Sus scrofa: one gene and its partner. The protein of the gene in region 2 purifies or fractionates together with the protein of the main gene of each other region. This does not show direct contact. Links are inferred from orthologs where the notes say so. Each region holds a gene or a part of one and is shown on either strand. Other genes may lie near its edges.

Region 1 (3,500 bases), on a different chromosome or scaffold from region 2:
GAGTCAAAATAATGGTAGGCACTTGAACAGTAGTGGCAAATAATGACAAAAAGAAGGGAGGAGATGGTAAATATTATGAAACAGATTTGAAAAATGCATAAAGTGCTCAACTAAAAAAATAATCCCAAAAGACCAAGGTTCCCGAATGAAAAAGTGACCAGAGAAAATATAGATAATAAGCCACATTTAAACACACATACACCAAAAAAGAAAAAACCTGGAATTTTAAAAAATGCAAAATTTTAAAATACTACCATTTTTAATGCACTGATTCAAAAACATCAAAACTTGTTTTACTATTCAATGACAGCAAAGAAGTAGTGAGGTAAGCGCTTTCACACACTTCTCAGACACTCCTAGAAAATACTTTGTTTTATTTAGTTAATAAAATAAAGAAAATACTTTATTTTATTACTTTTTTTTCCCCCAACTGCTATGGAAAACAGTATGGCAGTTCCTAAACAAACAAACAAACAAATAAAAAATAGAACCATCATATGATCCAGCAATCTCGCTTCTGGGTATATATCTAAAAGAATTCAAAGTAGGGTCTCAAAACATTCCCATTGCCATGTATACAATGGGAAATTAGCCAGCCTTAAAAAGGCAGGAAATCTGTCACAGGTTATAACATGGATGGACCTTGAGAGGATATCACGCTAAAAGTGAAGGAACCACAGAAAGAAAAGTGACCTTACACAGTGTGTGGGTCCACCTCTATGGGGCACCTAGAGGAGTGAAATTCATAGAAACAGAGAAGAGAATGTTGGTTGCCCAGGGCTGGGGCTTTAAACTATGTCTGAAGGGCACAGTTTCAGTTTTGTTAGATGGAAAAGTTCTGGAGCTCTTTTGTACAACCATAAGAATATATTTAACACTGTTGAACTGTACACTGTAAAAAATAGTTAAGATGGTAAATTTTATGTTTTGTGTTTTTGTACAACAAACATTTTTTTAATATTCTGACTAGAAATTACATTTTTAAGCATCCACCATAAAAAAACAAAGGTTTACAGATAAAGGTGTTATCACATGTGTGATAACACATGTGTGATAATGTAAAAAGTAAAACCAAGAGTTCCCGTCGTGGCGCAGTGGTTAACGAATCCGACTAGGAACCATGAGGTTGCGGGTTCGGTCCTTGCCCTTGCTCAGTGGGTTAACGATCCGGCGTTGCCGTGAGCTGTGGTGTAGGTTGCAGACACGGCTCGGATCCCGCGTTGCTGTGGCTCTGGCGTAGGCCAGTGGCTACAGCTCCGATTCAACCCCTAGCCTGGGAACCTCCATATGCCGCGGGAGCGGCCCAAGAAATAGCAACAACAACAACAACAACAACAAAAGACAAAAAGACAAAAAAAGACAAAAAAAAAAAAAAAAAAAAGTAAAACCAAGAAGATGAGCTAAGTCCCAGGTTCCTAGCCTCAGGTGAAATGCAGGGCACTGCTCTTCTCATCCGTCTTATTTATTCTTAGTTTGGACACAGAAATAAATGGAAGGAATGGCTTCCTGCTTTAAAAAGGAAAAGTAAAATGTCCCAAGACAAATGTTCCACAAACAAGGAAAAGAAATACCTTCTTTTCCATGAGAGACAAATTAACTGCATATTAGGCCAAATTCTGCACATAATTAATTATACACATAAAATATAAAAATGATTATCCAGAGAAACAAAGTCAATAAGATAAAGATATGACAAATGCATAAATTTAAAAATCAATATATAAAACAATAAAAACATAAATACTCACTGATTCACTTGGAGATCCTCAATTTCCAAAAGAACTCCTTTTTCATGTAGTCTTGCTGCTGTATATTTTAGAGAAATCTTTTTGCTTTTCTTTCCTTTCATTTCCCTAGGCTTTTTGGAGACCCTGTAAAAAATCACATCATGTCACTTTCCATAAATAACTATCAATTATGAATCTTTGTTGATAATTCAAGGATATGAGATCAGCAAACAAACTTCCCATACACAAGCCTAAGAAACAAGCCAGTTCTAGAATGGCAAATAAATGCTAGGATTTGACAAAGCAACATCTCTGCAAAACAGAGAAACATTACTCCGTTGCTTTTACTTTGATTTAAATTATATTTGAGGACACACCATGAATGCAACAATATCTTAATCCTTCTATGTCCCCCCTAGAACCTAAGCATCTAAAGTAAGTGAAAGTAAGTGTGAGGGCTTTTAATGCCAGCCTGAGGGAATTGTACTGAACCCCAGGGGAATGACTCTAAGCCTCTTGGCTGTGCAGAAAAAAAATAAAAATGTCTTAGAATACATCATTTTTTTTAACTTTTTTTTTTTTGGTCATGCCTGCAGCATGTGGCAGTTCCTGGGCCAGGGATCGAACCTGGGCCACAGCAGTGACAACACTAGATCCTAACGTGCTAAGCCACTAGGGCATTCCTAGAATATGTAATTTTTAAAAGAGTTTGAGCCAGCATAGCAATTATAGAGGAATGTGAGCAAGGAAAAAGAAATAGATGTTGGAAGGCTATTGGGATACCCAAAGCAAGAAGTGGTAAGAAAAATAAGCAAAGAAAAGAAACGAGTGAGAAGAGACCTGGTACTCTCAAGGGGAGGGTCTCAAAGAAGTGGGACAGAAAAGCTGGTAGTTGTGTATAAGAGAATAATCCCTAAGGCTGGCAACTGAAATATCTATCAAAATCACAACTGTACAAAATTTTGACCCAGCAATTACATTTATAGAAATTTATCTTCCAAAACATGCCTATATTTGCAAAATATGTACAAGAAGTTATTTGTTACAGAATTTTTTATGATAATTGGAAATAATGTAAATACTCAACAATGGAGAATTAAGCACTTATAGTTACCTATACAATGGAATACCACCAAGCCATCAAAAAAGAAAGAACATAGCTCTGTCCGCTTAGAAGGCCTGAAACAATGATGTCTGTGTGGCAATGAGCACATCTAGTGCCTAGATCTTGGTTTCTAAATACCGTTTTTCATTAAAAGGAACCAGGGATGCTTGGAAAAATAGCTAAATCCAAATTTAGGGAGGGAAAGTACAAATTGAACCAGAAACATATTATGCCACAAAGTCAAGAGGTGCTAAAAGAACGATGGAGACATTTTAAAAGGACACAGGAGCCAACTCTGCAAGTTGGGTTTTCACATCAGCTCTCCCTTACTCGAGGAAGTTTTCAGGGAGGGAGAGAAAAAGCACAGATGGAAGAGCAAGCAAGCTAGAGAGAGAGGAAGCTGATGTGGCAAAGTGTTAAATACAGGTGAATCTAGGCGACAGGTATATGGATGTTCAGCGTTCTATTCATTCAGCCCTTCTGGGGTTTGAAAATATTTAAGATGAAAAGTTTACTATCACTTTTAATAAGTAGGACCTGTGCTTAACCACTTCGCCTCTCTGGATTTTCAGTTTCTCTCCTTGTAAACCAGGCAGGCTGATGGTTTGTGGCCAGCACCAAAAAGGCTGCATTTTAGACTTTTCTTGGCAGCTGAGAACAAATCATGG
Region 2 (4,145 bases):
AGTTTGCAGAGGCGCTACCTTGAGTCTGACTGGTTCTCGGCCTCCAGCTCCCCTCCCACCAGCTGTTAGTTCCCCACCCGACCCTGAGCAGCAAGAACACAGCAGAGCAGAAGAGTTCTCAGCTACACCTACAGCTACTGTCAGCCATTGGCGGGAGGAAAAGACAGAGTTTTGGGTTAGGGTACCTCCAAGCTGCCCAGCAGAAGGAAGGGGAAGCGACTCCGGCTGCAGCAGCACCATGGGGCGGGCAACCCACCCCCCTCTGTCAACCGCCCATGCTCCCGGGCCACAGGGTCACCCTGAAGCAAGACGGGGATAGGCTGGTGTGAGTTCCCAGACGCCAGCGCCCTAGAAGCAAAACCTCAGAGCCCATTCTAGGAGAGGAGGAGGTACCACACCCCCAGGCTGCCTTCCTCTTTGAAGAACCCCCCCTCCTCAGTCAGCTCCATGCAGAGACATGCTAGGAGGAAGTCATGGTAGTAGGGGAAGGGCAGGGGCCAGAGAGCAAAGGCCAGGAAGAAAAACACTGGGGAGGGCAACTAGAGAAGGGGGGGGCTGGGAGGAGCCGTACCCGCCCCACGGGGCCCGTCACCCCGACAGGATATGCCTCACAAACGCTGCAGGAAGGAAGAGACATTAATGGTGAAGACAAGACATAGACGTGGGGTGAAGGGGATCAGGCGGTGAGGGAACAAGACACCCATTGGTTTTACGCCCCACCCCTTGCCCGCCCTTCAAGCCGCAGGAGCCCTTCCTTTCCTGCCACACCCCCCAGGCCTCCCACTCCTGGGCTGGGCCAGGCCCTGCCCCTTGCCTCCTGGCATTTTGTGCAGCCCAAGCCCAGGGACAAGGAAAGCCCCAAACACTGTGCCTGACCTGCCCCTGATAGCCACTGCGTTTGTGAGAGCCTCCATTTGTCCCTTACCTTCATAGTTGATACAACCATTGCTGTCCTCATGCCCTGCCACCAGCATCTCTACTTCTTCCTCTGTCATCTTCTCACCTGCAGAGGGGAAGAGTGAGTGTTCTGGAACTGGGTGACAGGTGAGGTGTATCAGGTGGCACCTCAGCTCAAGGAGCAAGGGCGGAGCCTTACCCAGTGTGACAAGAACATGCCGGATCTCCGCACCCATGACGGTGCCGTTGCCCTCCTTGTCGAACACCCGCAGGCCTTCGACATAGTCCTCGTAGGTGCCCTGGTCCTTGTTCTTGGCCACAGTCTGCAGCATGGGCAGGAAGTGCTCGAAGTCCAGCACCTTCACGTTCATCTCTGCCACAAAGGGGGTGAGAGCAAAGTCACGTGTGTTCTTACTGGAGGTTACGGGGCTCCCACTCAAGGCAGGAGAAATCTGTGGGATTTGCTAGACAAGACCTGCTTGAGTTCAGGGCCTAGGAAGATAAAAGGAAGCTATTAGCCGGAGACTGCGGGCCTGCCACCATGCTGAGCAGGTTGTTCTGAGGACTCTTACCATCACTCTTGGGGTTCCCCAGGACCTTGAGCACCTCGGCGTTGGTGGGGTTCTGGCCCAGGGCCCTCATCACGTCCCCACACTGGCTGTACAGGATCTTGCCATCCCCTGTTCGGTCAAACAGCTGGAAGGCCTCCTTGAACTCTGAGGATTCGGATAAACATCAGCACCTGGCAGGCACAGATGAACCCAAACCCTCCCTCACAGTCCCCGTTGCCCATTCAACTTTAATCACGCTGAGGAAACCAGATATTTATACCACTGTACACCCAAGCCCTCTAAGAGGGATCTAGTGTCCCTTCTTCCCAACTCAGGTGTCCCACATAAAGACAGCTCTCCTCAAGCCCTGGCAGAGTGGTAACTGCCATTTCCATACCCCCTCTGCCTACAGCAAGCCTGCCCAGCCTCCTCACTACAGTACTCAGGGCAGGAATTTGCCACCGCCCAGTCTGGGCCTTGTCCTTATAAGGAAGTGGGAGCAGCAGCCTGGGACTGGGGTCATCCCAGCCTGCCACTCTCACCCCTTCAGTACAGAAAGAAATCTTTCAGAGAGTATAGCTGCAAAGAAGCGTCCTCAACAAACTCCCCTGTACCAGCAAAACAACAGGTCACTGCTTCTTACAACCTTCACAATTCCAAGCTGGGGGAGGGGGAAAGTTAGCACAGGAGGAGAGAAGAGGCAGAAGGAGGTGATTAAGGAACAGAGGAGCACAAGCAGCTTAATACATCACTCCCGAGCCCCACACACGGCAGACATTGGTGGCCAAGCTGTTTCACATGCTCACACCACCTACAGAACTCACCCGGTGCTTGGGGCTCAGATCTAGAGTAGAAAGGGAGGGAGGAAGAAAGATTGAGAAAAGAAAATGGAGGCCCAGAAGGAGGGAGAAGGGAATCCACGAGGTACTCCCTTGTGGGTGCTGAAGAAATGACAGGTAGGGGGTAGGTGCTAGAAGGAATGTCCCTCTCCCTAAGCATGACCTCAGCGGGGTCAGAGATTACCTACCTGCGGTCTGGTCCTCGGTGAAGTCACACTGCTCGGAGAAGAGGGGAGCGATCAGCATCTTAACTCCAATCCCCCAAGCTTCCAGCCCCGTCCCAAGAACTCTGAACCACGAACTCCTGTTCCATCCTGGGCACTCTCGCTTCCCAGCAGGGCAGGCTCTCAACATCTCCAACCCCACCTCCAACCCTCAAGTCCCTTTGCCCCCTACCTTCTGCCTTCTCTTCGCCCCCTACCCCCGGCTTCCCGCCTCTCGCCCCCAATCCCGCTCATCCTCCCAGCCCCGGGCCCCACCATCTTGACTGCTTGGCTCTGCGGGACCTTTTCCTGCAGTAATGGCTCCGGTTCTCGGCCCAACCCTAGTCTTAGTACGTCCCAATGACGTCACCCTCCGTTGACCCAGCCAATAGGGATCCTGGCCCGGTCTTATGCAGATGCTGCTGCTACATTAGTAAGGAGGTGGGCGGGGCCCGCTGCGGCTCATTTTTCAGAATAGTCCTACCCGGGGCACAGAAACCGCAGAGGAGGGTGGGGTGGGGCGCAAGGAATCTCCTCCTGCGAGCCGCAGGAAAATCGGGGGATGTCGGATTTGGGAGAGGAGATCCCTCCCTTTCCTTCCTTCCCTCCCCCACCTCTGAAGAAAGCAAGAGTCGGAGGTTTAGGGGAGGAACCGTCACTTTATTTTGAAACAATAGGTGGCCTCCTAGCGGCAGGAACTTGCTTTCGCCCGCGAGGGGTAGGGGGACTCCTTGTCGAGCCCCACTGCACCTGTGGAAAAAGATGAACGTTGCCAAATCCTGGAGCTCAAGCGCGCAGCAGGACGTGGAAACGTATGTCTCTGGTAGAGGGAAGGGAAGCAGGCTGGCCTCACAAGGCGAAGTGGGAGGGCCCTACCTGTAGAGCTCAGACGCTCAGGATGTGCTTCAGGAAGGCTGCAGAGAGAGGAGGCAAGAGGGGCTTCAGAAGATGGTCTTGATAATCCATCTGACTTTAGATAATTTGGGCCACAGGACGCGCCCCCACATACGAGGAGCCTCATGCTTCCCCTCTTCCCCTGTCTCTTCAGCTCCTAGCCGCTCACCTTCATAGTTGATGCAGCCGTTGCTGTCCTCATGTCCTGCCAGAACTGTCTCCACCTCCTCTTCAGTCATCCTCTCTCCTAAACCCCAGACACAGCGTTTTAGCCCCTGCCTTCCCTCCCTCATCAACCCAGGCCTCATTCTTCTGGGTGGTACCTCTTCTCCCACCCTGGAGACTTGCCCATAGCAACAGTCCCCCAAGAGAATCCTGTCCTTGTAATGCGCATGCCTTGAATGCCTCCCAGCATCTTGCTTTCCATTTCACCTCAGTTACACCTGGTGAAAGCTCCACAGACAAGGAAACTGAATTTCAGAGGATTAAGAGACACATACCATATCACAGAGGCCAACCATCTCTTCCAAAATAGAAGCTCAGATCTCCCATCTCATCCCCTTTCCTCTGCCCTTTGGGAGGCATCTGTACCCCAGAAGCAGGCTCTGACCTTCTCGGTCTTCTGCCCATGACCTCCAGGACAGTAATCCCTCCCTGGCTCTGCCTGCTTGGCTAACCTTCTTCTTGGTTCACCCCCTCCTCTCCACCCCACAGTTCTGGTCCCTGCCTCACCCAGGGTAGTGAGGACATGTCTGAGCTCT

The links. Proteins that work in one complex are often made in the same cells at the same time.
Region 1: the proteins of MYL6 (region 2) and IQGAP1 purify together in Homo sapiens (affinity purification with mass spectrometry; 4 studies listed by BioGRID and IntAct, counting the BioPlex papers as one, with this or other methods). This does not show direct contact. The link is inferred for Sus scrofa from reciprocal best matches to the Homo sapiens genes MYL6 and IQGAP1.

Annotation. Positions count from the first base shown.
Region 1 is NC_010449.5:53,121,479-53,124,978, reverse strand, and holds part of IQGAP1 (ras GTPase-activating-like protein IQGAP1), read right to left. Parts: intron 1,872-3,500; coding exon 1,749-1,871; intron 1-1,748. UniProt on the Homo sapiens protein: Plays a crucial role in regulating the dynamics and assembly of the actin cytoskeleton.
Region 2 is NC_010447.5:21,557,980-21,562,124, reverse strand, and holds the start of MYL6 (myosin light polypeptide 6), read right to left. Parts: upstream 2,801-4,145; 5' UTR 2,770-2,800; coding exon 2,767-2,769; intron 2,504-2,766; coding exon 2,476-2,503; intron 2,293-2,475; exon of another isoform or gene 2,273-2,292; intron 1,614-2,272; coding exon 1,470-1,613; intron 1,271-1,469; coding exon 1,097-1,270; intron 1,004-1,096; coding exon 926-1,003; coding exon of another isoform or gene 735-925; exon of another isoform or gene 618-734; coding exon 589-617; 3' UTR 572-588; exon of another isoform or gene 1-571. Other genes in the region: MYL6B (myosin light chain 6B), read right to left, coding at 3,376-3,404, 3,554-3,631, 4,117-4,145. UniProt on the Homo sapiens protein: Regulatory light chain of myosin. Does not bind calcium.